3 linked regions of the Saccharomyces cerevisiae S288C genome follow. The gene in region 1 interacts genetically with each later gene. Each region holds a gene or a part of one and is shown in the gene's direction. Other genes may lie near its edges. The genes, in order: KRE6, KEG1 and DSN1.

Region 1 (11,641 bases):
AAGCATCGATTGAAGGTGAACGGTGTATAATCCTTTTCTCAGTCTCCTGGTCGCTTATCTGCGGAACAGTTTTGTTGTTGGTACCACCCGTACTGGATATTGGTACGTTTGTATGATTAGTCTCATTGTTACTGTACGAGTCTGAGTGTCTGAAATCTTTAGATTTACTGGCGTGCGACGACTCATGTGTGTTAGATTGGGACATGGGAGCAAGTAAAGGAACATTTAATTTATGCATACCACCCGAACCGGTACTCTCGATATTGGAAATTTGGGGGGTGCTAGATCTCTTCTTTGATGGAAGAATATTAGATTCAGATATGTTGGGGTCAACTTCTCTGGGTGCACGAAGATTGATTTCAGATATAGGTTTTGAATCTTCAGTATGAGTTGACGGAGGTGTGGAATCGGTTGGACTCACAGCTTTTGAAAGGACATTTCTCGGTTGCTCAGGATGTAGTTCAATGTCAGATTGGAAGTCATGGTCAGATTCTATGTTAAGATCATTGGATTCTTGGATCTCATTTGACGCAATGAACGAATGATATGAAGCAGTTAAACGGTTTAAGTCTTCATCGAAAGTGAGTGCGTCGTAATTGAATTGATCTAATCTGGATTCCTTGCCCTGAAGAATAACATAGTTAGTTGTATCTACTGTCTTCTTTAAGGATGGAAGATAGATGATATATCCATAAGAGTTTCGAGACGGATGTAGAGCGTAACCTGGGATGCCACGAGGATGTATTTTGGAGTTAGGGTTGTGATCATTGACGATAACAGGTTGACCGAAAGGTAACAAAGTACTGATATCAAGTCCTGCCAAGCCAGCATGTTGGCTTGCAGATTTTTTGCTTTTAGGTGAAGCTAGTGAATTTCTCACAATAGTAGAAAATTCGATTGCAGAGAACCATAAATGGTTCGGTAAACCACTACATTGCAGTTGAGTACGGCAGTCATCTAATAAGGTACGGTTGAGCCGTTCAGCGACTCCATGTGCTCGGGAATCCGCTGTGGTTGTATAGCATGGAGTTATACCATTTTTTTCAAGGAATTTATGGAGAGTTCTGTTAGTATACTCAGAACCACGGTCCATTTGTATAACCAAGACACTGGCCTGAAATTGGTTTTTAATGAAAGCTAGTATCGTGGTAAATACATCGAGGATAGAGTCCTCGCGACGGTCGTGCAATGGATAAACCCAACGGAATTTTGTTGTCTCATCAGTAAATGAGATGAAATAGGATGGTGCACTTTTTGGTAGGTTGTGAACTGGACCAAATATGTCAGTATGTAGGTATTGAAAGGGTTCGTATGAATTTTGGTATTTTAGTCGTGAACCTTTGATATGTCTGTGTTTGGTGCTTTTGCCGATTAAACAATCAGGACATTGATAGTCAATAGCACTAGACCAGTCGACATCTGATTCGTTAAAATACGTGATGGTGTTATTTTTAAGTGAGTATCGAATTGTCTGTGCATTGGCATGCGCAAGCATTCGATGAATGAAAGGATAAGGATATTTGCGTGTACTTTCACTTGTATGGACATTATTGATGGTGGGTACGGAGATATTTGATGGAAGCAAGTACCTTTTAGATACCCAGTAAAAGTCTCCATATTGTACGATAGGTGCAAGTACAGTGCCGTCAGATCGTTCTAAGACGTTTTTGGTAAAGCATGCTGTGATATCTACTGCAGCCAATTCATTCAAACTGAGTAAGTCATAGGCTATGTTAGGAGTGTGCAATACCTTTATTGATGTTTTGGTGTTGTCCTGGAAGTGAAATTGTAGGTCACCAATAGCGTTAATTGGTATATTTCTTTTTTGAGCATCAACTACGTTTATGTCAGGATTAGATGATGCTGAGTGTATGTGATGAGCAGATCTTATAAGGGTTCGTGATGCTCCTGAATCGAGAAGGAGGTGTCCAGGGAGTTCATCATCAGAATGATTAGTGTGATTTACCGTAGATTCAGTAAGTTCCTGGCCTAAGGTGAAGGTCGTGCTTATTGTTCAATTGAATCGGTTCAGTAGTTGATTTACTGATGGAATCGTTGTCCGTGCTGGGAGAGTTATTAGATGTGGATACATTGTGAGCCCTGGCTGTTTTCGATTTCGAATTATTTGTTTTTTGAGGATTCCGAGCTATAACTTTGGGTTTGGTTGTATTCGTATAGCTGCGAGAATCATTCTTCTCATCACTCAGATTTCTCCTGTAATTAGGTTTGCTGTTTCTCGATCCCTGTTGTTCTTCATAAATAGCATGGATATCTAAGAACAGTTCAGCGACTGTCATATTTAGATGTCGATGACGTGTGTAGCGTAAAAATTTATATTCGCCAGATAGACCTCTCATAATTAATTGGCATGCGACCTTGTTATTGATATGAATGCCATTATTGTTCAGTCTGTCGATAATGTTTGTGACTTTTGTTTCAAATGCATCTGCAGGTGTACTGCCATTATATTGCAAATTTGCCAGGGTCACAATGTCGTTTGCCTCTTGGGTATCAGATTGCATTTTTTCAATACTTTTGGAAAGAATTTTCATGATATCCGTATAATCAACGGATAGGATGTCTTTGACCCAGGTAGGTAGGAATTGAGAGGGAGCAAATATTTGAAAAGTGTTATACAAGAAGGTGAGTTCATCATCAGTGATCTGACGTACGGGTTTTCCGTTTACTGTCGGAATAATACCACCGAGATTCGAGTTTTGTAAAAATTTGATGTATGTTTTAACCCAATTTGGAAAGTCATTAGGTGAGGTTAACATTGGTGGTGGTCTGACATATTTTTTAGTGGATGTCATATCAGAGTCTGCTGAGGATGAATCAGTAAATGTATTACCTGACTCAGGTGATGGAGTGCTCAGAGGCGTTCCAACTGATGATGGATACTGCGGAAACTGTGATTGTGGCCCAGGTGGAAAGTACATAGGCGACATTTGATAAGGTGTATACGGAATCATAGATGGGTGTCCGTAAAATGACCAACCAGATGGATTGGCTTGGTTTTGGGTCATCATGCACTGCTGTGGGTACGGCCCATTCTGTGGAGGTGGTACTGAAGCAGGTTGAGGAGAGGCATGATGGGGGTTCTCTGGAACAGCTGATGAAGCAGGTGTTGTTGTCTGTTGAGAGTTAGCCTTAGTAGAAGCCTTCTCACATTCTTCTGTTTTGGAAGCTGAAACGTCTAACGGATCTTGATTTGTGTGGACTTCCTTAGAAGTAACCGAAGCACAGGCGCTACCATGAGAAATGGGTGAATAATTAGATAATTGTTGGGATTCCATTGTTGATAAAGGCTATAATATTAGGTATACAGAATATACTAGAAGTTCTCCTCGAGGATATAGGAATCCTCAAAATGGAATCTATATTTCTACATACTAATATTACGATTATTCCTCATTCCGTTTTATATGTTTATATTCATTGATCCTATTACATTATCAATCCTTGCGTTTCAGCTTCCTCTAACATCGATGACAGCTTCTCATAACTTATGTCATCATCTTAACACCGTATATGATAATATATTGATAATATAACTATTAGTTGATAGACGATAGTGGATTTTTATTCCAACACAAAATGAGATATGTCAGTATGACAATACGTCATCCTGAACGTTCATAAAACACATATGAAACAACCTTATAACAAAACGAACAACATGAGACAAAACCCGTCCTTCCCTAGCTGAACTACCCAAAAGTATAAATGCCTGAACAATTAGTTTAGATCCGAGATTCCGCGCTTCCACCACTTAGTATGATTCATATTTTATATAATATATAAGATAAGTAACATTCCGTGAATTAATCTGATAAACTGTTTTGACAACTGGTTACTTCCCTAAGACTGTTTATATTAGGATTGTCAAGACACTCCGGTATTACTCGAGCCCGTAATACAACAATTTACAACAAGATTCGGGCGTGTGGCGTAGTCGGTAGCGCGCTCCCTTAGCATGGGAGAGGTCTCCGGTTCGATTCCGGACTCGTCCATTTTAATTTTTGATTATGGAATACAAAATGTATATTTCGTATAAAATTATCTTTATTGTTTTTGTGGCTTAGTGATTTTCATTCCCCTCTTTTCTTTTTCCTCTCAGCCTGCAAGTGTGACGCGATCTGAAAGGCGTTTTACCCGCAAAACGCCAAAGAATCATCCTGAAGCGGTAAATTCTAGACTTCAGATCACATACGCTCTATTTGGACAGTTTTTTTTTTTTTTTCATATTCCTGATCAGATGAAAGTTAACGCTATTTTTGGTGAAAACACAGAATAAAACAGCTTCTGATAAAATTTAACTAGGAACGTCGAAAACAACAACCGTTAAAATATTTTTAGCTTACAGAAGCACTTAAGAATCACTAACGTTTTCTTCTTTTTTTATTTTCAGTCCAAAGCTTTCGTATTGCTGCAAGTGCTCGAGAAAGCTGCATATTGTTATTGTATTCGTCCTCTCGTACTAGTGTTCATTACTTTATCGTCTATAAATATATTGTTGTTAGAATTTTTCTACTAAGGCAAGTTAGTAGTTGCACAACATTTCTCTCGTTAAATCATCTAAAGTTTACAGAATAGGTATACCACTCACTCCTTTACTCTAATGCCTTTGAGAAATCTAACTGAAACGCACAACTTTAGTAGCACAAACCTGGACACAGATGGTACAGGCGACGATCATGATGGTGCTCCTCTTTCCTCATCTCCTTCTTTTGGACAACAAAATGACAATAGCACCAACGATAATGCTGGTCTCACAAACCCTTTTATGGGGAGTGACGAAGAATCTAATGCGCGGGATGGAGAATCTCTGTCTTCTTCTGTTCATTATCAGCCACAGGGGAGTGACTCTTCACTACTTCATGACAATTCTCGTCTAGATCTAAGTCAAAATAAAGGTGTATCTGATTACAAAGGTTACTATTCCAGGAACAATAGTAGAGCTGTGAGTACGGCTAATGATAACTCATTTCTTCAGCCACCACATAGAGCTATAGCCTCTTCTCCTTCTTTGAATTCTAATTTATCGAAGAATGATATTCTCTCACCGCCAGAATTTGATAGATATCCCTTAGTGGGTTCCAGAGTCACTTCTATGACTCAACTGAACCATCATGGTCGCTCGCCAACATCATCTCCAGGAAACGAGTCGTCCGCCTCATTCTCTTCTAATCCGTTTTTGGGCGAGCAAGATTTTTCTCCATTTGGTGGGTATCCTGCTTCATCGTTCCCACTTATGATAGATGAAAAGGAAGAAGATGATTATTTACACAATCCTGACCCCGAAGAAGAGGCAAGACTGGATAGAAGGAGGTTCATAGATGACTTCAAGTACATGGATAAAAGGTCTGCTAGTGGGCTAGCTGGTGTATTGCTCTTGTTTCTGGCAGCCATCTTTATTTTTATTGTTTTGCCAGCGTTGACCTTTACCGGTGCTATTGATCACGAAAGCAACACTGAAGAAGTTACATATTTAACTCAATACCAATATCCTCAACTATCCGCCATTAGAACATCTCTGGTTGACCCAGACACACCTGATACAGCGAAGACAAGAGAAGCTATGGATGGCTCTAAGTGGGAATTAGTATTTTCTGATGAGTTTAATGCAGAAGGCAGAACATTTTATGATGGGGATGATCCATACTGGACAGCCCCTGATGTTCACTATGATGCTACTAAGGATTTAGAATGGTACAGTCCAGACGCTTCCACAACTGTGAACGGAACCTTGCAGCTGAGAATGGATGCCTTTAAGAACCATGGCTTATATTACAGATCAGGTATGTTGCAGAGTTGGAATAAGGTTTGTTTCACGCAGGGTGCTCTAGAAATCTCTGCAAATCTACCAAATTATGGCCGTGTTTCAGGTTTGTGGCCCGGTCTTTGGACTATGGGTAATTTAGGGAGGCCCGGTTATTTGGCTAGTACCCAAGGTGTCTGGCCTTATTCTTATGAATCGTGTGATGCTGGTATTACACCCAACCAAAGTTCCCCGGATGGTATTTCTTACTTGCCGGGACAAAAGTTAAGTATTTGTACTTGTGATGGTGAAGATCATCCGAATCAAGGTGTTGGTAGAGGAGCTCCAGAAATTGATGTTTTGGAAGGTGAAACTGATACTAAGATTGGTGTAGGTATAGCCTCTCAATCCTTGCAAATTGCACCTTTTGATATCTGGTACATGCCTGACTATGATTTTATCGAGGTTTACAATTTCACAACAACGACCATGAACACTTATGCTGGCGGTCCATTTCAACAAGCCGTATCTGCTGTCTCAACTTTGAACGTAACTTGGTATGAATTCGGTGAGTACGGTGGCTACTTTCAAAAATATGCCATTGAGTATCTGAACGATGACGACAATGGTTATATCCGTTGGTTTGTTGGTGATACTCCAACTTATACTATTCATGCTAAAGCCTTACATCCTGATGGTAATATTGGTTGGAGAAGAATCAGTAAAGAACCAATGTCGATTATTCTAAATCTGGGTATTTCCAACAATTGGGCTTATATTGATTGGCAGTATATTTTCTTCCCAGTGGTTATGTCGATTGACTATGTTAGAATATACCAACCAAGTAATGCTATATCCGTGACATGCGATCCAAGTGACTATCCAACATATGATTATATTCAATCGCACTTAAATGCATTCCAGAATGCAAACTTAACTACTTGGGAAGATGCTGGTTACACGTTCCCTAAGAATATCCTAACTGGTAAATGTACTAGCTCGAAGTTCAAGTTATCCTCTTAAGCGGGTATTTTGATGGTAAATCTACAAGCCCTCGGCTTTAATTATTACCATGGTCATAAAAAGTTACTTACAATGCATACATTTTTCTTTTAGGAAGAAATAAAATATAAAAGACTTATCGTTCAAATCGGGTCATAAAGGGAACTAAAGGTATACTAAGGTAAGACGGGGTTCTCATCTGCACGTAATTTTTTATTATTTTTAGTGAGGGAGAACTTTACCTCTAAGATTGTTTATATAGGTATACACATTTTTGTAAAACTGATTATTCGTTTTTTTTTTTGAAACAAGTTATTAGTACAAAAATCAAGCTCTCACTACTTACCAGTAGTTATTTTAGTAGAATATTATTAACTCTACCGAATAAGTACGATATGAGAAATTGCTGATTTACTTGTGTGTGTTCCTATTATTATCCAGGAGCGCCTCTAATCTATGCTTATAATTTTACGTTGAAAAAAAAGGAGTCTGTATAATTATTTCAAATTCATCCTTTTCTCACGGATATTGTGTACCCTATGAGGTAAATAATTGCGCTTTATTTTCTCCCTGTGTTTGCTCGCTCATCTTAAGACGAAAAAAGTAATGGAACACCTACCATCAATAGAAGTACCACACTCATGTAAATAACAAGCGCAAGTGGTTTAGTGGTAAAATCCAACGTTGCCATCGTTGGGCCCCCGGTTCGATTCCGGGCTTGCGCAGATTTTATTTTTTGCTCCCTTCTAAAGCTCTGGATGATTCACCAACTTATCCAAGGCAAGGTCCAACTACCGTTTCCTTCGATGAAAAAGACAATAGGTAGCTCTGTCAAACCCCGTGGAAACGCAAACTCATCGGGAGTGTCCTACTGCTTTCCACTAGTTATCCGACTAGCAAGGCAACTAGTCAAGATGAAACCGTCTCACGAACATTTGTATACGATCTCTTCTCCTGATAGACAATGAAATATACCCCGGTGCTTGTTTCCCACTAAGGAAAAAAGGCCGCTGCCCCACAGCGGGAAGGCCCTTCAAGGGGTAGCGGCATCGCCTAGTAGCACTGTGGGGGGAAGAATACAACGCTCAACGGAAGAGGAAGCTCTGCGAGATGCAGCCAGCACCTTCTATGTTTCAAGGATAACATTTTGAATTAACAAGGAACGCCTTCCCCAATTACCGTTATTGTATTTTTACTTTTTAGAGACTCTCGAGGAAATAAGTAAGGGGTGGATAATTTTCGCTAAAAAAGTTTCAGGGGAGGTTAATAACTACCATGTGCATGCTACAAAGATAAGGAAGGAACACCGACGAATATATTATATGTATAAAAGGAGCATGAAGTTTGTATAGCAGTAAAGCAAGATTCTTTGTGCCTTCCCGTTTCTTGTTGTACCTTTTGTTTTGATTACGTACGAAGTATTATAAGTTTTTTCTGCTTGCTATTGTAATATAAAGTAAGCACAGATTGAGAAGGTAACGATTACTAAAAATATCCAAAAGAAAAACAATTGGATCTTTTTTGACTTCTCTACATTACAATTTCAGTAAAGCAGCTTTCAACTTAATTTAATTTTGAACAATGCCGCCAGCTAGTACTAGTACTACCAATGATATGATAACCGAAGAACCTACTTCTCCACACCAAATCCCAAGGCTTACAAGGAGACTTACGGGGTTTCTTCCCCAAGAAATCAAGTCAATTGACACGATGATTCCTTTAAAGTCAAGAGCGTTATGGAATAAGCATCAAGTCAAAAAATTTAACAAGGCAGAAGATTTTCAAGATAGATTCATTGACCATGTGGAAACTACATTAGCACGTTCCCTATATAATTGTGATGACATGGCTGCTTATGAAGCTGCTTCGATGAGTATTCGTGACAATTTGGTCATTGACTGGAACAAAACTCAGCAGAAATTCACCACAAGAGACCCAAAGAGAGTTTACTATTTGTCTTTGGAGTTTTTGATGGGTAGGGCTTTGGATAATGCCCTGATTAATATGAAGATTGAAGATCCGGAAGACCCTGCTGCCTCAAAGGGAAAACCAAGAGAAATGATTAAAGGGGCTTTGGATGATTTAGGTTTCAAGTTAGAGGATGTCTTGGACCAAGAACCGGACGCAGGTTTAGGTAATGGTGGTCTAGGTCGTCTTGCAGCTTGCTTCGTCGACTCAATGGCAACGGAAGGCATCCCTGCCTGGGGTTATGGTCTACGTTATGAGTATGGTATCTTTGCTCAAAAGATTATTGACGGTTACCAGGTGGAAACTCCAGATTACTGGTTAAATTCTGGTAATCCATGGGAAATTGAACGTAACGAAGTGCAAATTCCTGTCACCTTTTATGGTTATGTTGATAGACCAGAAGGCGGTAAAACTACACTGAGTGCGTCACAATGGATCGGTGGGGAAAGAGTTCTTGCTGTCGCGTATGATTTCCCAGTTCCGGGTTTCAAGACTTCCAATGTAAATAACTTAAGACTATGGCAAGCAAGGCCAACAACAGAATTTGATTTTGCAAAATTCAATAATGGTGACTATAAAAACTCTGTGGCTCAGCAACAACGCGCAGAGTCTATAACCGCTGTGTTGTATCCAAACGATAACTTTGCTCAAGGTAAGGAGTTGAGGTTGAAACAGCAGTACTTCTGGTGTGCTGCATCCTTACACGACATCTTAAGAAGATTCAAAAAATCCAAGAGGCCATGGACTGAATTTCCTGACCAAGTGGCTATTCAGTTGAATGATACTCATCCAACTTTAGCCATCGTTGAATTACAGAGAGTTTTGGTCGATCTAGAAAAACTAGATTGGCACGAGGCTTGGGACATCGTGACCAAGACTTTTGCTTATACTAACCACACTGTTATGCAAGAGGCCCTGGAAAAATGGCCCGTCGGCCTCTTTGGCCATTTGCTACCCAGACATTTGGAAATTATATATGATATCAACTGGTTCTTCTTGCAAGATGTGGCCAAAAAATTCCCCAAGGATGTTGATCTTTTGTCTCGTATATCCATCATCGAAGAAAACTCTCCAGAAAGACAGATCAGAATGGCCTTTTTGGCTATTGTTGGTTCACACAAGGTTAATGGTGTTGCTGAATTGCACTCTGAATTAATCAAAACGACCATATTTAAAGATTTTGTCAAGTTCTATGGTCCATCAAAGTTTGTCAATGTCACTAACGGTATCACACCAAGGAGATGGTTGAAGCAAGCTAACCCTTCATTGGCTAAACTGATCAGTGAAACCCTTAACGATCCAACAGAGGAGTATTTGTTGGACATGGCCAAACTGACCCAGTTGGGAAAATATGTTGAAGATAAGGAGTTTTTGAAAAAATGGAACCAAGTCAAGCTTAATAATAAGATCAGATTAGTAGATTTAATCAAAAAGGAAAATGATGGAGTAGACATCATTAACAGAGAGTATTTGGACGACACCTTGTTTGATATGCAAGTTAAACGTATTCATGAATATAAGCGTCAACAGCTAAACGTCTTTGGTATTATATACCGTTACCTGGCAATGAAGAATATGCTGAAGAACGGTGCTTCGATCGAAGAAGTTGCCAAGAAATATCCACGCAAGGTTTCAATCTTTGGTGGTAAGAGTGCTCCTGGTTACTACATGGCTAAGCTGATCATAAAATTGATCAACTGTGTTGCTGACATTGTTAATAACGACGAGTCAATTGAGCATTTGTTGAAGGTTGTCTTTGTTGCTGATTATAATGTTTCTAAGGCTGAAATCATTATTCCAGCAAGTGACTTGAGTGAGCATATTTCTACTGCTGGTACTGAAGCGTCTGGTACTTCTAATATGAAGTTTGTTATGAACGGTGGTTTGATTATTGGTACTGTTGATGGTGCCAATGTGGAAATCACAAGGGAAATTGGTGAAGATAATGTCTTCTTGTTTGGTAACCTAAGTGAAAATGTCGAAGAATTGAGATACAACCATCAATACCATCCACAAGATTTACCATCTAGTTTGGATTCTGTTTTATCCTACATTGAAAGTGGACAATTTTCTCCAGAAAATCCAAATGAATTCAAACCTTTAGTCGACAGTATTAAGTACCACGGCGATTATTACCTGGTCAGTGATGACTTTGAATCCTATCTGGCCACCCATGAATTAGTGGACCAGGAGTTCCACAATCAAAGGTCAGAATGGTTAAAAAAGAGTGTCCTGAGCGTTGCAAACGTCGGCTTCTTTAGCAGTGATCGTTGTATCGAGGAATACTCCGATACCATTTGGAACGTTGAACCAGTGACTTAGCTGGGAGTTTTTTTTATCTCTTTGGCACCCTTCTCCCCATTTCTAGTAAGCGCTTTTTTCTCTTTACTTCTTCTCTTATATAAAACGCCTTTAAAATAATCGTTATCGGTTTTTTGGCACTCTTTTAAATGGTATATATGATGTTACAGGAAAACTTAGTTGTTTTCATATTGAAAATCCGCGCAGGATAACGCTTGTGTAAAACCGAGTGTCCTGAAGGTGGGTAAGGCGGTCCTTATTATCACTTACTCGAACGTTGACATTGGTACAGTCCCTATCAGGTAGGATGTACTGACGTTTTGACAATAGTTTCGATTTTATGGATTGTTTGAAAAGAGCGAGACAGTGACAAAACGTGATAGATTACATAGTAGTCAGTATACAACTTTCCGTAATTAGCCACGAGGCCAGAAAGGAAGAGAGAATAGTATAACCTAATATAGATCTGCAATATCACTATTTTGGAACTCCTTAGACTCATCTGGTTTCGCTCTTTCATCCTTAAAGCTTCCATTTTTTTTCTCTATTGGTTTACTCGTAAGCTGATGCTGCCCCTGTGAGGGCGAGATTGGGAATTGTGGATGAGAA
Region 2 (10,133 bases), on another chromosome or scaffold:
GGTGGCTGCAAGGACGAGAAACATGAGCAATGGCGTCAATTACCGGGAGAAGGAAGTCAATGACCTAACGGCTGACATTTCAGATTCAGATTCAGATTTGGATTCAGAGGACAATAAACATGGCAAAGGCGACAATGACACTGCCCCCATATGGTTACAAGATGATGTGCATTCAGACGAAGATATTCAGCTGGACTCAGAGGACGATTCCGATACAGAAGCTGTTCAAGCCCAAGTGGTGGATAAATTGGCAAAAGACACGAAATCAGAGCAAAAATCCTTGGATGATGAGCTCTCCGAGATGGATACCAAGACGGTTTCTTTAAAACTTAAGAAACTAAACGAGTTTGTGAGGCAGAGTCAGGTATATTCCAGTATAATCGCCGATACTTTACTACATCGATCTAATGAAGTGGCTAACGCTAATACAAAAGATAACAGCAACTCTGATGATGAAGAACATTCTTCAAAAAAACGTAAAACAAAAAAAAAATCAATAACAGATTTCTTCAAAAAACAGAAAAAGAACGAAGATACAACCACCCAAAACGGCGCACCAGACGATGCAGCAATAAAGCAACCTCGCCTATTGAAAAACTGTATTTTAAAACCTTACCAACTAGAAGGTCTTAACTGGCTGATCACTCTTTATGAAAATGGCCTGAACGGAATTCTTGCCGATGAAATGGGTCTTGGTAAGACTGTTCAAAGTATTGCTCTTTTGGCGTTCATATATGAAATGGACACAAAGGGTCCTTTTCTAGTGACTGCACCATTAAGCACCCTAGATAATTGGATGAACGAATTTGCAAAATTCGCTCCTGATCTACCAGTTCTAAAATATTATGGGACCAATGGTTATAAGGAACGTTCTGCCAAGTTGAAAAATTTCTTTAAACAACACGGCGGCACGGGGATCGTCATCACATCATATGAAATTATTTTAAGAGATACCGACTTAATCATGAGTCAAAATTGGAAATTTTTAATTGTTGATGAAGGCCACCGTCTGAAAAATATAAACTGTAGATTGATTAAAGAGTTAAAAAAAATCAATACTTCCAATAGACTGCTACTAACAGGGACGCCTTTACAAAATAACCTAGCTGAATTATGGTCACTTTTGAATTTCATAATGCCCGATATCTTTGCCGATTTCGAGATATTCAATAAATGGTTTGACTTCGACAGCTTAAATTTAGGCTCCGGTTCCAACTCTGAAGCATTGAATAAGTTAATCAACGATGAACTACAGAAAAATTTGATTTCCAATTTACACACAATTCTGAAACCATTCCTTTTGAGAAGATTGAAAAAAGTTGTTTTGGCTAATATTCTGCCGCCAAAGAGAGAATATATCATAAATTGTCCGATGACGTCTGCACAGGAAAAATTCTATAAGGCTGGATTGAATGGAAAGTTGAAAAAAACCATGTTCAAAGAATTAATCAAGGATTTTTTCACATTGAACGATGAATACATCGGCCACGTTTCTAATCGGTCCATACGAGATTTCATCAATTATAAACTATCTGGTAATGAAACTTCAAATACAGACAATAAAATCAATCCAACCTTGTTGCAAATGGACAAACTATATAAGAAGAACCTGCAAATGGAAATTTCAAATAAGAAATTGCAAAATATGATGATGCAATTGAGACAAATCATTGACTCAACTTTTTTGTTTTATTTCCCATATTTACACCCAGAAGACTTGACTTTGGAAACTCTTTTAAAGACGTCTGGGAAATTACAAATCTTACAAAAATTAATCCCCCCATTAATATCTGAGGGGCACAAAGTGCTTATTTATTCTCAGTTTGTTAACATGCTCGATTTGATCGAAGATTGGTGTGATTTAAATTCGTTCGCGACATTTCGAATTGATGGTTCAGTAAACAATGAAACAAGAAAGGATCAACTCGAGAAGTTTAATAGCTCGAAAGATAAGCATAACATTTTCCTATTGTCCACAAGGGCGGCAGGACTGGGTATTAATCTAGTCGGGGCAGATACAGTTGTCTTGTTTGATAGTGATTGGAATCCACAGGTGGATTTACAAGCCATGGACAGGTGTCACCGTATTGGCCAAGAATCACCGGTTATAGTATATAGGTTGTGTTGTGATAACACCATTGAACATGTTATATTGACCAGAGCGGCCAATAAGCGAAATTTGGAAAGAATGGTTATCCAGATGGGAAAATTCAATAACCTGAAAAAATTGGCGTTAAATGAAGGTTCTTTTTTGAAGGCAAACAAAGCGGGTGTTAATGTCACTAATAAGGACTTAGTCCAGGAGTTATCTATGCTTTTAATGAGCGATGAATCCAATATAGGCTTTGAAAATGGGGGACAGAAAGAAAATAAGGCTACTGAGGGCCAACTGACTGATAAGGAGGTTGAAGAATTGACCAACAGATCTCTTGAAGCGTACAAGGCCAACAGAGTCGTAGATCTGCCGCACGTCAAGCTATTTGAAACAACCTCCGGTCTTTAACTTGGTTATCATACAATATTGTTTTTATTAAATGTTTGTATATATGTACATATACATACCTATATATTGATCAATGTTCTTGCCGTACAAATTCTTCCTCTAGTTGTTCCTTTAGTTCACGGTTTTTGAATAAAGTATCCGCAGTATTCATTCGTTGCAGAAAGGTATCTTGAATATTATTTTTTGTGTTCTGGAAATCAGCTTTTAGTTTAGTAATCCATTCCAGTATCAAAGTCATATCCAGATCATGTTTTACCAGACGGTTCCTCTCAGAAATAACTTTCTTTTTCAATTCCATGAAACGGAGCCAGTTGGAATGATTCTCTTCTATATAGGCAGGATCGTATTGATCTTCCAAATGGAGACCTCTGACGTCCATATATGCCATTCTTTGCGACCATTGACTTATCATTACATCGCCCCACTCTTCGTACACTTCGACGTTTTCAAGACGAATCGATTCTGCCAGTTTAGCCATTTCGGTAAGAAAAGAATCTAATGAATGAAACAGTGATTTTTCAAAGTCTAACAAATGTATTTTATAATTCTTCAGTATCGATGTGATAGATGATTTGGTAATGTAAGCTTCCAGTTCAACTTGACCCGATTCATCAAAATACTTTATTTTATTTTGCACAGGATCGAATTTAGAGGTACAATTAATATCTTTGATTTTTGAATCTAGAAACACTAATTGCTCATTAACGGTAGTGTTAAGGTCATCAAGATTCCTAGTGATTTCTATAGATTTATTTTGCACCTCGGCCTCGAACACAGACTGTATCTCTGAATCCAAAAGTGCCATCGCACTGTGTATTTTCGAATCTATAGCCTTAATCCATGCTTCATATTCCATTTTTAATGATTCTGCCTCGTAAGTTTCCAATTCTGCATGGCTATTGGAACCAATGATAATCTTTGACAAATCCTGCAAAATAGCAGCAGTGACGAGTTGTGAGTTCCCGTGGCCATCCTGTACTCCATCGAACTCGTATTCTTTATTTTCATCCTCAATTCCGACATCATCCTCATCCTCATCTTCATCCTCATCCTCATTTTCATTCTCATCATCCTCATAATCCTCTGTTTCCGAGTCTGTCTCAAAAATGGGTTTGGTGAGCGTGCCATCAGCGCTAAAGGAGCCGTATTTCATCCAATCCGTAGAGGAGTTAAATGGATTCTCTAGTACATTCTTCACATTGTCTGTATATGGCTTTAAATAGTACCAGGCAATCCTTAGATGATTTAATAAAGGTCCCAACTTGGAATGTAGCGAACAGCAGAGCTCATTTAGCCTTAGAAAAGAGAAAATATTGTACCAAAAGCGGTAAAAATATCCCATAATTCTCTTCAAGGATGAGTTGGGGTATCTTTCAATCAGTGGTTTTATCGATTGTGAGTACTTTCCAACTAAATAGTCAGAAACCGCTGAACCTTCAACCAATTTAGAATCGAATAGTGAGCCAACTGAAAATTCAGTATGCCGGCAAATGGGCTGTAAATCTGTGGCAAAGCTTCCCAGACCATTTTGCTGACAGACCAGATACCTTGCAATAAACACGCAAGCCAGCAAAGCAGTCGTTACTTTGAAAACGGCCTTCATGATTTTTAGTAAAGAACTAACCACCTTTTTCTTAGTTAAGAAAAGGTCAATCAGTAACAGAAATATGATAGTAGCAACACCCAAAAAAATGCTATCTTCCAATAGTCAAAAAGGAAGCCTCGATGCCATACAAGTCTCTTCTAAAGTACTATTATGTAATTCCTGTTAAATGATACCTGTATTGTGGCTTAAAAGGGCCGAAATGACAACAAAATGAGTAGGGTTAATTTAATTTTTAAAGAGGGCATTTATCTAAAAAATGAAAGACAACTATAGGGCTGGTAATTATAGAATAGGTCTTAGTAGGGTTATCCCTTCCTCTAGAAAAAAAGAAAGAAAAATAATTTTAAGTGGCCAATTAGAACCAAAACCAACAGTATCGTGGTATCATACGCTCCAAAGCAACTAGAAGAAAGGCCTTATTTGACCATTGGATTCAGTATTTTTTCTCCAAGTAGCGGTTAAAAGACTGAGAGACTAAAGCTAGATAGTGGGTTTGAGTGACTATCCCCTTTTTTCCTCCTCTTTTTTTATTATTTTGATTTTATTTCATTTTGATTTTATTTCAACACGATTAAGACACAAGCGTTACTTCCCTAGACTATAGTCTCTGCCGTTCCCATTCTATTGATTTTTGGAGCAGCAGTTTTTACAAAAGAAAAGAAAAAAAAGACGAAAACAACAAGCCAGAGTAAAGATGTCGTTTTGGCCATTTGGACAGAATCTTAATCACTCTAATATTAATAAGATCCTAGATGAATATTTTCATGTGCTACACGAACTGGAAAGGATTAACCCAAGCGTTGGTAAAGCCATTCCCGCTATTTTCAACAACGTTCAGGAACGAGGTACAAGTGACTCCCTAGATTCTATTCCGGAGGAGTATAGTCATGGTGATGAAGTGAAAACGGCACGTGGAGATCAGAAGAGTCGATTTGAGAAGGATGATCAGCAAGAACGGTATGAGAAAGAGGAAGAGGAACGGAGCATGAACTCTAGCGAATCTTCCACTACATCTTTTTCTTCTGGGTCAACTTCTAAAACTGATTTAGATGAGGAGGATATCAGCAATGCTACTGCTCCCATGATGGTCACCACAAAGAATTTGGATAACTCTTTTATTGAAAGAATGCTTGTAGAGACAGAGCTACTGAACGAATTATCGAGACAAAACAAGACGCTACTTGACTTCATTTGCTTTGGATTTTTCTTTGATAAGAAAACTAATAAGAAAGTGAATAATATGGAATATCTGGTCGACCAACTGATGGAATGTATCTCGAAGATTAAAACCGCCACCACAGTGGATTTGAATAACCTGATAGATTATCAAGAACAGCAACAGCTTGATGATAGCTCACAAGAGGACGTTTATGTGGAATCTGATACGGAGCAAGAAGAGGAGAAAGAGGACGATAATAACAGCAATAACAAGAAGAGACGAAAACGCGGAAGCTCCTCGTTTGGTAACGATGATATCAACAACAATGACGACGACGACGATGCGAATGAGGACGATGAATCTGCTTATTTGACAAAGGCCACCATAATATCTGAAATCTTTTCCTTAGACATATGGTTGATTAGCGAGTCATTAGTTAAAAACCAATCATACTTAAACAAGATTTGGTCTATCATCAACCAGCCAAATTTCAATTCTGAAAACTCTCCCTTGGTACCCATATTCTTAAAGATTAACCAAAATCTGTTGTTAACCAGGCAGGATCAATATTTAAATTTTATTCGAACGGAGAGAAGCTTTGTTGATGATATGTTAAAGCATGTTGATATTTCCCTATTGATGGATTTTTTCTTGAAAATAATATCCACAGATAAGATTGAATCACCCACGGGAATAATTGAATTAGTATATGATCAAAACTTGATCAGCAAATGCTTAAGCTTTCTAAATAACAAAGAGTCCCCAGCTGACATCCAAGCATGCGTGGGTGATTTCTTAAAGGCTCTGATTGCCATTTCTGCTAATGCACCCTTGGATGATATTTCCATTGGTCCAAACTCCTTGACGAGACAGCTAGCATCTCCCGAATCCATTGCAAAGCTAGTCGATATCATGATCAACCAAAGAGGTGCCGCATTAAATACCACAGTTTCGATTGTCATTGAGCTGATAAGGAAAAACAATTCAGACTACGATCAAGTTAATCTTTTAACCACTACTATAAAGACTCATCCACCTTCAAATAGAGATCCAATATATTTAGGCTATCTACTTCGGAAATTTTCAAACCATTTGTCCGATTTTTTCCAAATCATTCTAGATATTGAAAATGACGCCAACATCCCATTACATGAAAATCAGTTGCACGAAAAATTTAAACCTTTAGGATTTGAAAGATTCAAAGTGGTGGAATTAATCGCCGAGTTACTGCATTGCTCTAATATGGGATTAATGAATTCCAAAAGGGCAGAAAGAATAGCCAGAAGAAGAGATAAAGTAAGGAGCCAGTTATCCCATCATTTACAAGATGCATTAAACGATCTGAGTATCGAAGAAAAGGAGCAACTTAAAACGAAGCACTCTCCAACACGTGACACTGATCACGACCTAAAAAATAACAACGGTAAAATAGATAACGACAATAATGATAATGATGATGAAAGTGACTATGGCGACGAAATAGACGAGAGCTTCGAAATTCCATACATCAATATGAAGCAAAACATAAAACTTAGGACCGACCCCACGGTCGGGGACCTATTCAAAATCAAACTATATGATACGCGAATTGTTTCCAAAATAATGGAACTATTCTTAACACATCCTTGGAACAATTTTTGGCATAATGTTATATTCGACATAATTCAGCAAATCTTCAATGGAAGAATGGATTTTTCCTATAATTCCTTCCTTGTTTTGTCTCTGTTTAACTTAAAGAGCTCCTATCAATTTATGACTGATATCGTCATATCAGATGAAAAAGGAACGGATGTTTCCCGATTTTCTCCCGTTATTAGAGACCCAAATTTTGATTTCAAAATAACTACAGACTTCATATTAAGGGGCTACCAGGATTCATATAAATTTTATGAGCTAAGGAAAATGAATTTGGGATATATGGGCCATATTGTCTTGATTGCCGAAGAAGTGGTCAAATTTTCTAAATTGTACAAAGTGGAACTAATATCTCCCGATATTCAAGTAATTTTACAAACCGAAGAATGGCAATACTACTCCGAAGAAGTCTTAAACGAAACAAGAATGATGTACTCTAAAATTCTTGGCGGTGGAAGTTATATTGATGATGGAAATGGTAACATCATTCCGCAGCTGCCTGACAATACTACTGTATTAACTCCAAATGGTGATGCAAGTAATAATAATGAAATCCTTGATTCAGATACCGGGAGTAGTAATGGAACAAGTGGTGGCGGCCAATTAATCAATGTTGAGTCTCTAGAAGAACAGTTGTCCTTATCTACAGAATCTGATTTACACAACAAGTTAAGGGAAATGTTAATCAATAGGGCTCAAGAAGACGTTGATAATAAGAACACGGAAAATGGGGTTTTCATACTGGGGCCGCCGGAGGACAAGAACAGTAATAGTAACATTAACAATACCAACCATAATAGTAATAATAGTAATAACAACGATAATAACGATAATAATGATAATGACAATGATAATACTCGTAATTATAATGAAGATGCTGATAATGATAATGATTATGATCATGAATGATACATTGTTTTGTACTTTTCTTTAATTTGTATATATATATATTAATTTATATGTATAAGTACCATGTAGTTTTCTATTCATTCATTCATTCATCATGATAATATTACTTCTTACGTATCATTTACGTGAATAGATCACTTTACCGTTAGGCAATTCCATTTTCTTTTGGCCTTTCTTTGCAGAACCCTTTTTTACTTTGTTCCCCTTTTTTGTTTGGTTACCATCATACTTTTTACTATCCGTTATTATTTCTTCTTTTCCTGCGCTACCAACAGATTTGCCAAACGTCATGTTCCAAACCGAAGCAGGTATTCTCCAAAACAAACAGTTCTTTACTGAAGGTTTATCCAAGGTATCTGGCGAAATTAGTGTTTCACTTCCATCAGGCTCTACAACATAGACATCGCTAAACCTTACAACCAAACTTTTACCCTCATCCTTTTCATGTTGTTTAAACGTTAGTTGTTTTACGCCTAGTCCATTGGTATCATCCTGTTGTTTACACTGACTGATGAAGTTTTCAATTCTTGATCTTTGAGAACGATATTGAATAATAGAAATGATATACTGCCCAATATTAACGACTATCCAAATAAAGGCCAGCAGGAACCAAGTCTTAGGCTTCATTCTGGAAAAATAAAAACCACCCTTATGGAAATCATAGTTTGGAAAGCCATTCTGTAGATAATAATCATAAATCTTACGATTAGAGCTGTTTGAAAGAATTTGAGTAGCGAGGTTTAACCTTTCATACAATTTACGGTATTTAGGGTTCTTATCCGGATGGTACTTCTTGGATAGCTTTCTTAAGTTTTTTGTAATCTCCTTTGTACTAGAATTCTGCAGTTTAGGTAACTTCAAGAACTTGTAGAAGTTCATATCTGGGCCATATTTCGTACTTATTTCATTTTGTAATTGGAAAATTTCTGTTTCAATGGTGGTAAAAGCATATGATAGAGATACCAATCCCAGGACAACCAACGCAGGTTTCCAGTAACCGTTCATTCTTTTAGTGATCTTGTAACCTTGATTTTTTGTTCGTTTTCTATTCTTTTGGTACGTGTTATTTTGAAAATCTCATTTTTTTCGTGATTATTAATTTTGAATATGGAAATTAAATATGATTTACCTTCAAATTGGGAAATAATGTAAATACAACGTCAATAAAAGTATTTGTTCGGTCACATATATTTAACTAGCATTGAGGATGGCAGGTATCAAGTTGACGCATAAGCTTTATCAGTATTATCAATTAGCCACAAGCTTTTTGTATGCTGCATTATTGATACGGTGGCTGATATTAATGCCACTGGTAGGGTCTCGGTTTTTACCGGGAGGAATCCACGAATTCTTGATATATTTGATGTTTTATTCCAGCATCATGGAAGTTATTTGGTTGCTTAGATTCCACGGGTTCAAATATGGTTTGCTTTCAAGAACGTTTTTGAAAGACCTAAATTTTATCTATTTAGTCAGCGTGATCCATTTTTATGACGATTATGAGCATGCATTGATCCTCAAGAATGCATCATATTCTAGTTTCATTATTTCCTTATCTTTATCACAGGCATATTGCCATTGGTGCAAACTTTTTAAACGTAAGGGCGTAAAGGAAAGAACACTTGTATGGAAGGTTAACACATTTGTTACATTGCCAATTCTCTACCTGAGTGAATTTGCATTGCTACTATTAAATATCCAGGTTAAGAACTATCATTCTACCCCGACTTTGGACATAATCAACAGGGTGGTTTTACTAGCATACTTCCCTGTACTACTAACAGCATACAAAAAACTATTAACAAAATGAGCAATCTTATTGGTTTAATACATATGTATACACATATACATATCTGTACATACTCATAAATATCTGGATAGTTCGTCAGCCATTTCATTTGCAAAAGCATCAGCTTCACTACTATTCTCGATAGACTTATATTTTAGCCTTGCACTTTGCAAATTCCTAATTATTTGTTCGAGGGGCATTTCATTAGGAATTTCCTCCCTTATTTTAGTAGCCGGTTGAACTTCACAATTTAACCAGTCGTGGGTATCTATAATCTCCTGGATCCTATCAAGCCCCAATTTTTCTCCATAGTCGTTATGATTAACAGTTGGTTTTGACCTTTTCCAGTTTACGAATTCGATGACGTTTGTAAAGGCATTGCTCCATATCTCATTCAGTTCATCAATTTCATCTTGCTCGACTTCTTCGTTCACATTGGCCAACACAACAAAAGTATTTCGATGGGCAGCTATCATGAATTGGTGCAGCAGTTCTTGAGGTTTTGTTTGCCGGATGTCCGTTATTAAGATAA
Region 3 (11,641 bases), on another chromosome or scaffold:
TAGGACATTGGGGATTGGCTTCCCGTTTAATTTACCGTAAACCAAGTGCATACCTAGTGCAAATTCTTGTTTATTCAATTGGCCGGTGTTGTTTATATCACAAAGGTTCCAAATTTGCTCCAAATCTGCACGATTTAAGCCAGATTTTCTAAAAATCTCCACAGCAGTGGGGGAATCTAACAAACCTTTGTTTTGAGTATCAAAAGTTTCAAAAATTTTATAAAACAAAGATTTTTCCTCCGTGGAAATTTTGTCTTGACTTGAGTTATCAATTAAGTTATTATTAAAGTTGGATTTGGTATAAATTTCGTTATTACCAAATCCTGTCTTTTGGGCAGTCAACGGCATGGTAGCACTAAAGTTAGATGGTGGTAGAAAACCCGTTGGTTGGGGTTGCAACCCGGTTAACTGAGATTGTAATCCTTGTTGATTAAAGGACAAATTGGGCATACTTGCAGGACCGCTTTGCTGGGGCATAACGGAACCATATCCTCCGGTATACTGAGATTGCAAAGCACCGCCGGTCAACTGAGGTCCTAAATTAACGCCAAATGAAGTCTGTGGCATCATACCAGTTGTCTGTGGCATCATACCAGTTGTCTGTGGCATCATACCAGTTGTCTGAGGTTGCAAAGCATTGCCAGTAATGTTGGGTTGCATAGAGGCAGGTGCTCCTCCAGTAATTTGGGGGTTCAATCCGGGAGTTCCGGTATTCATTGACATGTTGAAAGTGGTTGGTGCCATAAATCCTGTGGATTGAGGATTCAACGCCGAGGCAACACCGCCTCCAGTAATTTGAGACTGTAATGGGATACCAAAACTAGTTTGAGGCATATATCCTGTTGGTTGAGGTTGCAAATTTTGTACGCCCGCTGTAATGAATTCATCAAAGGGAGTTTTTGGGGCATCGTTTGCGGAAGAATCCTGGTTTGCAATGCTTAAATTAATGGCGTCAATAAAACTTGAAACTTCGTTTTTTGTCTTAGAATCCAATTCGTAAGGGATAGTGTCACCTTGTAAGACATCATTGATCAAATGCATTGCTAATGCAAATTCAGGAAACAGTAACTCACCTGCTTTTGATGTATCACAAAGCGTCCAAATTCTTGCGAGTTGAGAAGGTGGCAAACCGGATCTCATCAAAATTTTCCTACAATTAGCACCGGAAACAGTATTCGAACCATTGGTAACAATTGATCTGAATAGAGTCTCAAATTTTGCCTGATCTTGGGCAGTAATAAACGACAATCTAATGGCAGGGATTTTGATATCATTGTTTAGACCGTTGTTGGCAAATGAGTTGACAAAGCCAGTTGCGGTGGGCTTTAATGGTTCTAAGGGAGCTTGGTTTTGCGGTTGAAGGTAAAATCCTGTTTGCTGCGGCTTCAAAGGTTGCAAGGACTGTGCTTGCTGAGGAGGTGGCACCTGTTGAGGTTGAGATTGATAATAACCAGTGCCCTGGGCCTGAAGGGGCTGCTGGGTTTGATTAGAAGAGATCAAATTGGGTGTAGACACATAATATCCTGTCCCTTGAGATTGCAAAGGTTGTACTGAGTGTACATTTGCAGTATTAGCAGCTTGGTAATAGCCTGTTCCTTGGGGTTGTATGGATTGTAGCTGAGGCTGTTGAGCCGGATTAGGTGGAGGCATGGTGCCAGTAGTATTCATCATAGGCATACTGGAATTTGGTACGTATCCCGTATGCTGCGGTTTCGCCTGCTGTTGTTGCTGCTGGGGTTGTTGGCCAAAATTACCATTACCATATACACTACCATTATTTCCATTATTATTGTAACCCGTTTGGGGCTGCTGTGGCATACTTGAGAAAGAATTACCAAAACTTTGAGGCATCCCACCAATTCCGGTAGCCTGAGGCTGGTTAAACGCCATTTGCTGTTGTGGTTGAGGCTGGCCTTGGGGCTGGTTTGAAGACTGACCTTGCTGCTGCTGCGGGTAGAATCCATTTGGTTGTTGCTGCTGTTGCTGCTGTTGCTGCTGGTAACCCATGCCCTGTTGCTGGTACGGGTTATACATATTCAGTTGTACAGATTAGCAATTTCGCGTCGCTGATAGATTCTTCCTCTTCCTGCTTCTCGACGTGTGTTTCGCCAATAGATCTATATGGCTTTCTAATGCTTTTTTTCTTCCAATACCAACTTTTGCCCCTAACAAGAAAAAAATATCGTCGACGTGTCATGTGATCAAGCCAATTTATAATAACAAGCGATTGATAAACAGAGTATACATAGCTACTATGCGACTGAGAGATCAATCGGTTATCGTGAGCACCTACCTTTAAGGTTTAACAGATCTGGACGTGATTTTTTTTTTTTTTTTTTGACGAACCAGATTGTCAAATAAACATTGTTAATTGATGAATTTTTAATATCTGCCCAATTGAAGCATAAAAAGCGTCTTAGGAAAGCATTCGTTAAATATCTCTACTGTTGGTAAGCAGGTACTTCAGTAAAAAACCATATTAAACCCAAAATTATCAAATTAGTAGTACATAAGATCGAAGTAGAAAAAATATAGATTATAATCCGATATAGTGTAACGGCTATCACATCACGCTTTCACCGTGGAGACCGGGGTTCGACTCCCCGTATCGGAGTATGTTTATTTTATTTTTTTCATATCCGCTCGAATATTGCCTTCGTTTAAGGTTTCTATATCTCTGGTAAACCTTAACAATGGAATTAATATTAATTCTATATTTCGCAATAATTCTACTGACAGTTATTTTCTTAACCTTTCTTCTCTTTTTTTATTTATTTATTTCTTTTTCTTTCGTACCTAAATTGTTTGAATTTAATAAGAACAGATCATATGCCTGCCAAAATACACATTTCTGCAGACGGTCAGTTTTGCGATAAAGATGGCAACGAGATCCAATTGCGTGGTGTCAATTTGGATCCGTCAGTTAAAATCCCTGCAAAGCCATTCCTATCCACCCACGCTCCCATAGAAAATGACACGTTTTTCGAGGATGCTGATAAAGTCAGTTTCATCAATCACCCCTTAGTTCTTGATGATATCGAACAGCATATCATCAGATTGAAATCACTGGGTTACAATACCATTCGTTTACCCTTCACCTGGGAATCTCTTGAACATGCTGGTCCAGGACAGTACGATTTTGACTATATGGATTATATCGTCGAGGTACTAACCAGGATTAACAGCGTACAACAAGGTATGTACATTTATTTGGACCCTCACCAAGACGTCTGGTCTAGGTTTAGCGGTGGATCTGGAGCACCGCTATGGACCTTATACTGTGCAGGGTTTCAACCTGCAAACTTCCTGGCCACCGATGCTGCAATCTTACATAATTATTATATTGACCCCAAAACGGGCAGGGAAGTTGGCAAAGATGAAGAGTCCTACCCTAAGATGGTTTGGCCTACAAACTACTTCAAACTGGCGTGTCAAACAATGTTTACGTTATTCTTTGGTGGGAAACAATATGCTCCTAAGTGCACAATTAATGGAGAAAACATACAGGATTACTTGCAAGGAAGGTTTAATGATGCAATCATGACACTGTGCGCAAGAATTAAAGAAAAGGCTCCTGAGTTGTTTGAGAGCAACTGCATTATTGGATTAGAGTCTATGAACGAGCCAAACTGTGGTTACATTGGTGAAACAAATCTCGATGTGATTCCGAAAGAGAGAAATTTGAAATTGGGCAAAACGCCAACGGCATTTCAAAGCTTTATGCTGGGTGAAGGTATTGAGTGCACAATAGATCAATATAAAAGGACATTTTTTGGATTTTCTAAGGGAAAACCGTGCACAATCAATCCCAAAGGCAAAAAAGCTTGGCTGAGTGCAGAGGAAAGAGATGCGATAGATGCGAAGTATAATTGGGAAAGGAACCCTGAATGGAAACCAGACACTTGCATTTGGAAACTCCATGGTGTTTGGGAGATTCAGAATGGTAAACGCCCTGTTTTACTCAAACCAAATTACTTTAGCCAACCTGATGCAACGGTATTTATAAACAATCATTTTGTTGACTATTACACTGGAATTTATAACAAGTTTAGGGAATTCGATCAAGAATTGTTTATTATAATCCAACCGCCGGTAATGAAGCCACCACCCAATTTACAAAATTCTAAAATATTGGACAATAGGACGATTTGTGCATGTCATTTTTATGATGGTATGACACTAATGTATAAGACATGGAATAAACGAATTGGCATAGACACCTATGGACTAGTAAACAAAAAATACTCAAATCCTGCCTTTGCTGTAGTGCTTGGCGAAAACAATATACGGAAATGCATTAGGAAGCAATTATCAGAAATGCAAAAGGACGCTAAATCCATGCTTGGAAAAAAAGTACCTGTATTCTTCACCGAAATTGGTATTCCATTTGACATGGACGACAAGAAAGCATATATTACAAATGACTATTCTTCACAGACCGCTGCATTGGATGCTCTTGGATTTGCATTAGAAGGAAGTAATCTTTCGTACACCTTATGGTGTTATTGCAGTATTAATTCACATATATGGGGTGACAATTGGAACAATGAAGATTTTTCGATTTGGTCCCCGGATGACAAACCACTCTATCACGATACCCGAGCAAAAACTCCTACTCCTGAGCCATCTCCAGCCTCTACTGTGGCTTCGGTATCCACTTCTACATCTAAATCGGGTTCTTCACAACCACCAAGTTTCATAAAACCAGATAATCATTTAGATTTGGATAGTCCCTCGTGCACTTTAAAGAGCGACTTGTCAGGGTTCAGAGCTCTTGATGCTATAATGAGACCATTCCCCATACAAATTCACGGAAGATTTGAGTTTGCTGAGTTTAACTTATGTAATAAATCCTACCTTTTGAAATTAGTTGGTAAAACGACACCTGAACAGATAACTGTCCCTACATATATTTTTATACCACGGCACCATTTTACACCAAGCCGGTTGTCAATTCGTTCATCATCAGGTCATTATACCTATAACACTGACTACCAGGTTCTTGAATGGTTTCACGAGCCTGGCCATCAGTTCATTGAAATTTGCGCAAAATCGAAGTCAAGGCCCAACACCCCTGGAAGTGACACTTCGAATGACTTACCAGCGGAATGCGTTATCAGCTAAACAAAAATTGAACCAAAAGCTATAGTAGTCATATATATATATATACACCCTTTTTATTGTTACAAAAAGATTTCACCATCAGAAATCTAAAGAAGCCGGTTCATCATCATCTTCACGTTCTCTTTTCACTGAACCCAGTTCATTTTTCAAAAGAGAACTCACATATGCTTGGAACTGATTGATAAAAGGTTGTAAAGCTGTTAATGAAACATCATTATTTTTCTCCATTTCTGTTTGAAGATCAATTAGCTTAGGTGCTTTTTCAGGTGCAAAGGATTCATCAATAGGCACACAGACATTCCCCGTAGCAGGATGAATACAAAAAGGGGCCTTTAACAAATGAATTGTTTGCTTTGTAACTTCCACATCCAGCTTCGGATAAAGAGTCATCAATACGAGATCTTCCTTACATTCACGTAACTTAATTATGTGAGAGTCTTGCTTGGGGCCTTTGAAGAGCGATGTAGCTATCTGATCTATATCATTCCACTTCTCTTTGCTTGACCTCCTTGGATTGTCCAGCCAATACTTCTTTAATGAATCAATCAATTGTTTATCATATAATGCAGGCAATAAAGTTTGGATAGCATGTTGGTCATCTTCCCAAGGATTTTGCTCTTCGAGCATAATGCTGACAAAGAAAGGTTTCAATTGCTCCAAAGAACGAGCAAGATGAGGGTGATAAGGCCTCTTCAAAGCCAATCGCTTGTCAGTATTTCTGTCTCTAATCACGTTGACATAATCTAAAACGTTTCTTCGTTGTACATCCGTCAAAGCCCGTGCCCGTTTGTCGCTTACCCAACAATGAGCACCACGTCTACCTGAAAATACCCAGATGAAGTCCTTATAACCAAAATCCTCTCTTAGGGCCGTGTTCGTAATTTTCATTGCCAAAGATATAAATTTCCAGCACTTAGAGCAAACTTGGGCTCCGGAGCAACACGTTCTGAAGGCATCGTAATCATCCATATCAATATCAAACACCAACTCCTTCTCTAAAGCTTTCAATTCGCTTTTTAATAGAGTATCACGTTCTCTTGGCGGTTTGTTATATATGGCACCGATTTCAAATCTGTCTGGGTTGGCTTTTTCTATTTGTGCTTTGAAATCTTGCACAGAGTTAAAAGAATTATACCTTTTGTAAGCACCTGACCTGAACGCCATAGCGAATTCTCTGTTAATCATATCCCTAGAAGGTTTGGGCGAATGATTCAGCCAGTTGAAAATGTGTTTGAATGGATAGAGCGACTTATAGTAGTACTCCATGTCTGAGGAGCTTGGCCCATTAGTCTTTACTGAATTGGTCATGATGTTTATAAAACAGTTTTTTGAGTTGCTAAAACTAATTTTTGCTAGTATTATGGCACGCTTTTCTCTTCAGCTTCAAAGTATTTTTGATTAATTTTTTATCTTTTTGGCGTTATGAAACTTTTCAACTGAAAGAAAACAATAGGTAAAAGTGGCAAAGGGCACTGACCGAGCAACTGTTTCGAAACTCACGCATCATTCACACGTAGGATATAGTAATGGTTGAACCAGCAAGGAAAAAGCAGAGGATTGATCGCGATACTCATCACACTGTGGCTGAACCAGTAACGGAAGCTAAAAATACGCTGTACGTGAGCCAGCTTAATGAAAAAATTAATATGCAACGACTGCGAGTAAACCTTTTTTTGCTCTTTGCTACGTTTGGAGAGGTACTGAAGGTTAGCATGAATTTCAAGAAACAGCGGGGCCAAGCCTTTATCACCATGAGAACCATCGACCAGGCCAGTCTGGCCCAGATTTCATTAAACGGCGAGCGATTCTTTGGTAAGCCTTTGAAAGTTGAGTTCAGCAAGAGTGAAACTAAAACACTATGACTGGCTTAACGCTCTATTCATAGCAGCACGTATATACCGAGAAGAGCTGCCATAGGGGCACATCAAAGTCAAGAGCGCAGAACCAAACCAAAATGTTTATATCCAAACAACCCGGCGTTATAGATGGTCGTCAACGGACAAATAATATCAAGGCATGTATCAATATGGAGTAGATATAGAATCTACAAAAATCTGTAGCAGAAAGAGTCTCCCGAAAAGACATACTGCAGAACGGCCGCTTATTCCTCACTTCAATTGCTTAAATAATACAAAGGGCAAACCACAGAGTACCCCATTGCCAAAAGACGTTTATTACATTTTGGAAGTGATAATTTAGTATATAAGACAGCTTACTATATGATGAATTACAGTGTAGTTCAGCGTTTATATGTGGCTTCGTTTAAAATGATATATATTTCTAGTAAAAGCAAAAATTCACAAATGATAAACAAATCAAAATAAACATCAAAAGAACCGCCAATTGATAAAAGCACAAAGTACCAGGCAGAGTTGTGAAACCGGGCCTCTTCTATTGTACCACACACAAATTTTTCTTTATTTAGGTAGAGGATGAGTCTGGAACCCACACAAACGGTCTCCGGTACGCCGCCGATGCTGCATCAAAGAACACACAAACAAGTATACCCATTGCGGATGGAAACTATCCCAATATTGGAATCCGACTCCAAGGCTACTCTACAAAGCAACGAGCCCACCCAGAAAGATGAGGAGGAGACCGAATATTTTGAGAATAAACAATCCGTGTCGAATTTGAGCCCCGATTTGAAATTCAAACGACACAAGAATAAACATATCCAGGGGTTCCCTACTCTGGGCGAAAGGCTGGATAACCTGCAAGATATAAAAAAGGCCAAGAGAGTGGAGAATTTCAATTCTTCTGCGCCAATTGCTGACGACAATCATAGTGGAGATGCGACTGCAAATGCGACTGCAAATGCGACTGCAAATGCGACTGCGAATGTTAATGCAAGTGCAATGCCCGCTCCATATATGCCTTATTACTATTACTACCATCCGATGAATGCACCAACTCCTGCAATGATACCATATCCTGGATCACCAATGCATTCGATTATGCCCAACTCCTCATTACAGCCCTTTTATTCGCAACCCACTGCTGCAGGCGGTCCCGATATGACTACTCCCCAAAATATATCTTCATCACAACAATTGCTGCCAGCTCCGCAATTGTTTCCGTACGGATCATTCCATCAACAACAACTTCAGCAACCACACTACATTCAACGAACAAGGGAAAGGAAAAAATCAATCGGAAGTCAGAGAGGTAGAAGATTGTCTATGTTAGCATCTCAAGCTAATGGGGGAAGCACTATTATATCTCCGCACAAGGATATTCCTGAAGAGGATTTTTACACCGTGGTTGGAAATGCGTCTTTTGGTAAAAATTTACAAATACGACAGCTTTTCAACTGGTGTTTAATGAGATCTCTGCATAAATTGGAGTTGAAGGCTAAAAACCAAGAGGAAGAAGGGGAACTTGAACATCTGACCAAAAAATCCAAGCTCGAATCAACAAAGGCAGAAACTGATTATGTGGATCCCAAACGTCTGGCTATGGTGATAATAAAAGAGTTTGTCGATGATCTTAAAAAAGATCATATTGCGATAGATTGGGAAGATGAGGAAAAATATGAGGATGAAGATGAGGAGAAGATTCTGGATAATACTGAAAACTACGATGACACGGAACTGCGACAACTGTTTCAGGAAAACGACGACGACGACGACGACGACGATGAGGTGGACTACTCGGAAATACAGAGGTCTAGACGTAAATTTAGTGAAAGGAGAAAAGCCCTACCGAAAGAACCAAAAAAACTATTACCTAATAGCAAAAACGTGGAAAACACAAAGAATCTTAGCATTTTAACGAGCAAGGTGAACGCGATCAAAAATGAAGTGAAAGAATGGGCAGTCACTTTAGACACTTCGAGACCAGATCTTGAATGGCAAGAATTGACTTCATTCTCATCACAACCACTGGAACCGTTGTCGGATACAGAAGAGCCAGACCTTGCGATTGCAGATGTTGAGACAAAGTTAGAAACAAAAGTCGATGAGCTAAGGTACCAGTCGCATATATTAAACTCGCACTCACTAGCCTTAAACGAAATAACAAATTCAAAAGTGAATAAATTGAACATAGAAACAATGAGAAAGATCTCAAGCGAAACGGACGATGACCACTCACAAGTGATTAATCCTCAACAGCTGTTGAAGGGATTAAGTTTATCTTTCAGTAAAAAACTGGATTTATGAAATAAAAGAAAAAATCAAAAAAAAATCGGATACTTCTGCATATGTAACATTACACAGTCATACATTTATATATACATATATATACATATTAATGTATTTGAAAAAGCAAAAGAACCATTCTATCCTTAGTTAAAGGGCGAATCAGTAGCAGCGCTACCACTATTGTTATTGTTTTCGTTTGCTGTCATGGTATCGTGGTGGTAAATAATACTTTCTTGAAGTGATAATGTTGATGACGATGCTGCTGAAGGGCTACCCATATCTAAAGATTTGAACAGCTGGAGTGGGCGTTCCAATAACCCATTTGAATGTTCATTGTATACCTGTAATCTTGTCATATGACTTTTCCAGACGGAGCTATTATCTGCTAATAAAATTATCCTGTCACGGGCAACATGTTCAATAAGCGTACACCATACGTGAGACAATTGTTCAATGCATTTATCGTAGTAGTAATTATTACTAGCTAATTCAAATCTGGGCAATTTGATAACTAATTCCGTGCAAATGTCTAAGAATTTTAATGATGCGTGCAAATTTTCCAAACGTGGTGGAATGTTATCCAGTATGAAATCCACCAAACAGTTTAAGAACTCCAGAATTTGAGGTTTCATTCTCACGAAAGCATAGTCATCTAATTTATTACTCTCATAAGACCTATTGTAAGGTATGCTCTGGTAAACGGCTTCTGATTTTTGTTTCAACATGTCCAGACACTTTTGTATACTGAAGTCTAATCCGATGACTCTCGTATGTACGCTTTGTTGTATTTCTGGATGTTTTGTCATCAAATCCACCAACAACTGCTGTAATTGGTTCTTGTTCATTAGTTCCATGCCTCGTTGCAAGGGCAGAGGCTGCCCTCTGATGAGCGATCCTGGCTGAGGCCTCCTCTTGGAGACGCCCCCATATTTCATCACATTCTTGTTACGAGGTAGTTCTTCCTCTTCTTGCTCCTCGTTGGCATACCGCCTTTTTTGTTTCACTCCAGCAGTTGGAATCATTACATTGCCTGTGCCTTGTGAACTGACTGTACTCTGTGTTATTTTACTGCTGGGTTTAAAACCCCATTCAAACCCCATCATAATGCTATACTGTCCTGTGTTTGTTGCTTTTGCCAGGTACCTTCGAACACACTAAGTGAGAATACTTGGTTAAGTATATTTTTAAGTAAGAAATTCCCACTCGCCGCATTATCACCCGCCCGCCGTTTCTTTTTCTGGCAAAATTTTCACTATGAATAACTAAAGAGATACATTCGATGGGCTTTAGATGAGGCCTTTTGAAGACCAAAACAGCACCAAATAGCGACACATTAAGCGTAATGGAACCTCAAGAAGAGTTTATAACTACCGAAGAAGTTGAGCAGGAGATTGTGCCCACTGTGGAGGTCGAACAAGACGTTCCCGTTGATATTGAAGGAGAGAATGACGACGATGATGAAATGATGAATGATGATGAGGAAGCTTTGGAGGTCGACATGTCCAACAACTCGCTTACCTATTTCGATAAGCACACAGACTCCGTGTTTGCCATTGGCCATCATCCTAACCTGCCGCTAGTATGTACCGGTGGGGGTGATAACTTGGCACATCTTTGGACATCACATTCACAGCCACCCAAGTTTGCTGGCACTCTAACCGGTTATGGCGAATCTGTGATTTCATGTTCTTTCACTTCTGAAGGGGGCTTCTTGGTCACTGCCGATATGTCGGGGAAGGTTCTTGTACACATGGGTCAAAAAGGTGGCGCTCAGTGGAAGTTGGCATCGCAAATGCAAGAAGTCGAAGAGATTGTTTGGCTGAAAACTCATCCCACTATAGCAAGGACGTTTGCGTTTGGTGCAACTGATGGATCTGTTTGGTGCTACCAGATTAATGAGCAGGATGGTTCTTTGGAACAGTTAATGTCTGGTTTTGTACACCAGCAAGATTGCTCTATGGGTGAATTCATTAACACCGACAAGGGTGAAAATACGCTGGAATTAGTCACTTGTTCTTTGGATAGCACTATTGTGGCATGGAATTGCTTCACTGGCCAACAATTATTTAAGATCACACAGGCAGAAATCAAGGGATTAGAAGCTCCATGGATTTCCCTATCATTAGCTCCGGAAACTTTGACCAAGGGTAACTCGGGTGTCGTGGCATGTGGGTCCAACAATGGTCTTCTGGCAGTAATTAATTGTAACAATGGCGGTGCGATTTTACATTTATCTACAGTGATTGAACTAAAGCCAGAACAAGACGAATTAGATGCCTCCATTGAATCCATTTCTTGGTCATCCAAATTCTCCCTTATGGCCATTGGCCTTGTCTGCGGTGAAATACTCTTATATGATACAAGTGCATGGA

Evidence for each region.
Region 2: mutations in KRE6 (region 1) and KEG1 are lethal when combined (synthetic lethality), as found in Saccharomyces cerevisiae (one study listed by BioGRID).
Region 3: of KRE6 (region 1) and DSN1, a mutation in one rescues a mutant of the other (synthetic rescue), as found in Saccharomyces cerevisiae (one study listed by BioGRID).

Annotation. Positions count from the first base shown.
Region 1 is NC_001148.4:852,962-864,602, forward strand, and holds KRE6 (beta-glucan synthesis-associated protein KRE6), read left to right. Parts: upstream 1-4,621; coding exon 4,622-6,784; downstream 6,785-11,641. Other genes in the region: YPR158C-C (gag protein), read right to left, coding at 1,974-3,296; YPR159C-A (uncharacterized protein), read right to left, coding at 7,353-7,454; GPH1 (glycogen phosphorylase), read left to right, coding at 8,345-11,053; cyclin-dependent serine/threonine protein kinase SGV1, read right to left, coding at 11,488-11,641. UniProt on the Saccharomyces cerevisiae protein: Involved in the synthesis of (1->6)- and (1->3)-beta-D-glucan polymers of the yeast cell wall in vivo. It is required for full activity of beta-glucan synthase in vitro.
Region 2 is NC_001138.5:229,439-239,571, forward strand, and holds KEG1 (Keg1p), read left to right. Parts: upstream 1-9,019; coding exon 9,020-9,622; downstream 9,623-10,133. Other genes in the region: IRC5 (putative ATPase), read left to right, coding at 1-2,503; OSW7 (Osw7p), read right to left, coding at 2,574-4,106; SAP155 (Sap155p), read left to right, coding at 4,804-7,812; ERJ5 (Erj5p), read right to left, coding at 7,930-8,817; IRC6 (Irc6p), read right to left, coding at 9,676-10,133. UniProt on the Saccharomyces cerevisiae protein: Involved in the biosynthesis of (1->6)-beta-D-glucan polymers of the cell wall. Required for viability. Involved in maintaining chromosome stability.
Region 3 is NC_001141.2:367,875-379,515, forward strand, and holds DSN1 (MIND complex subunit DSN1), read left to right. Parts: upstream 1-7,556; coding exon 7,557-9,287; downstream 9,288-11,641. Other genes in the region: actin cytoskeleton-regulatory complex protein PAN1, read right to left, coding at 1-2,034; EGH1 (hydrolase), read left to right, coding at 2,830-5,124; DNA primase subunit PRI1, read right to left, coding at 5,203-6,432; U2 snRNP complex subunit MSL1, read left to right, coding at 6,651-6,986; STS1 (Sts1p), read right to left, coding at 9,413-10,372; SQT1 (Sqt1p), read left to right, coding at 10,612-11,641. UniProt on the Saccharomyces cerevisiae protein: Acts as an essential component of the kinetochore MIND complex, which is required for the spindle checkpoint and kinetochore integrity.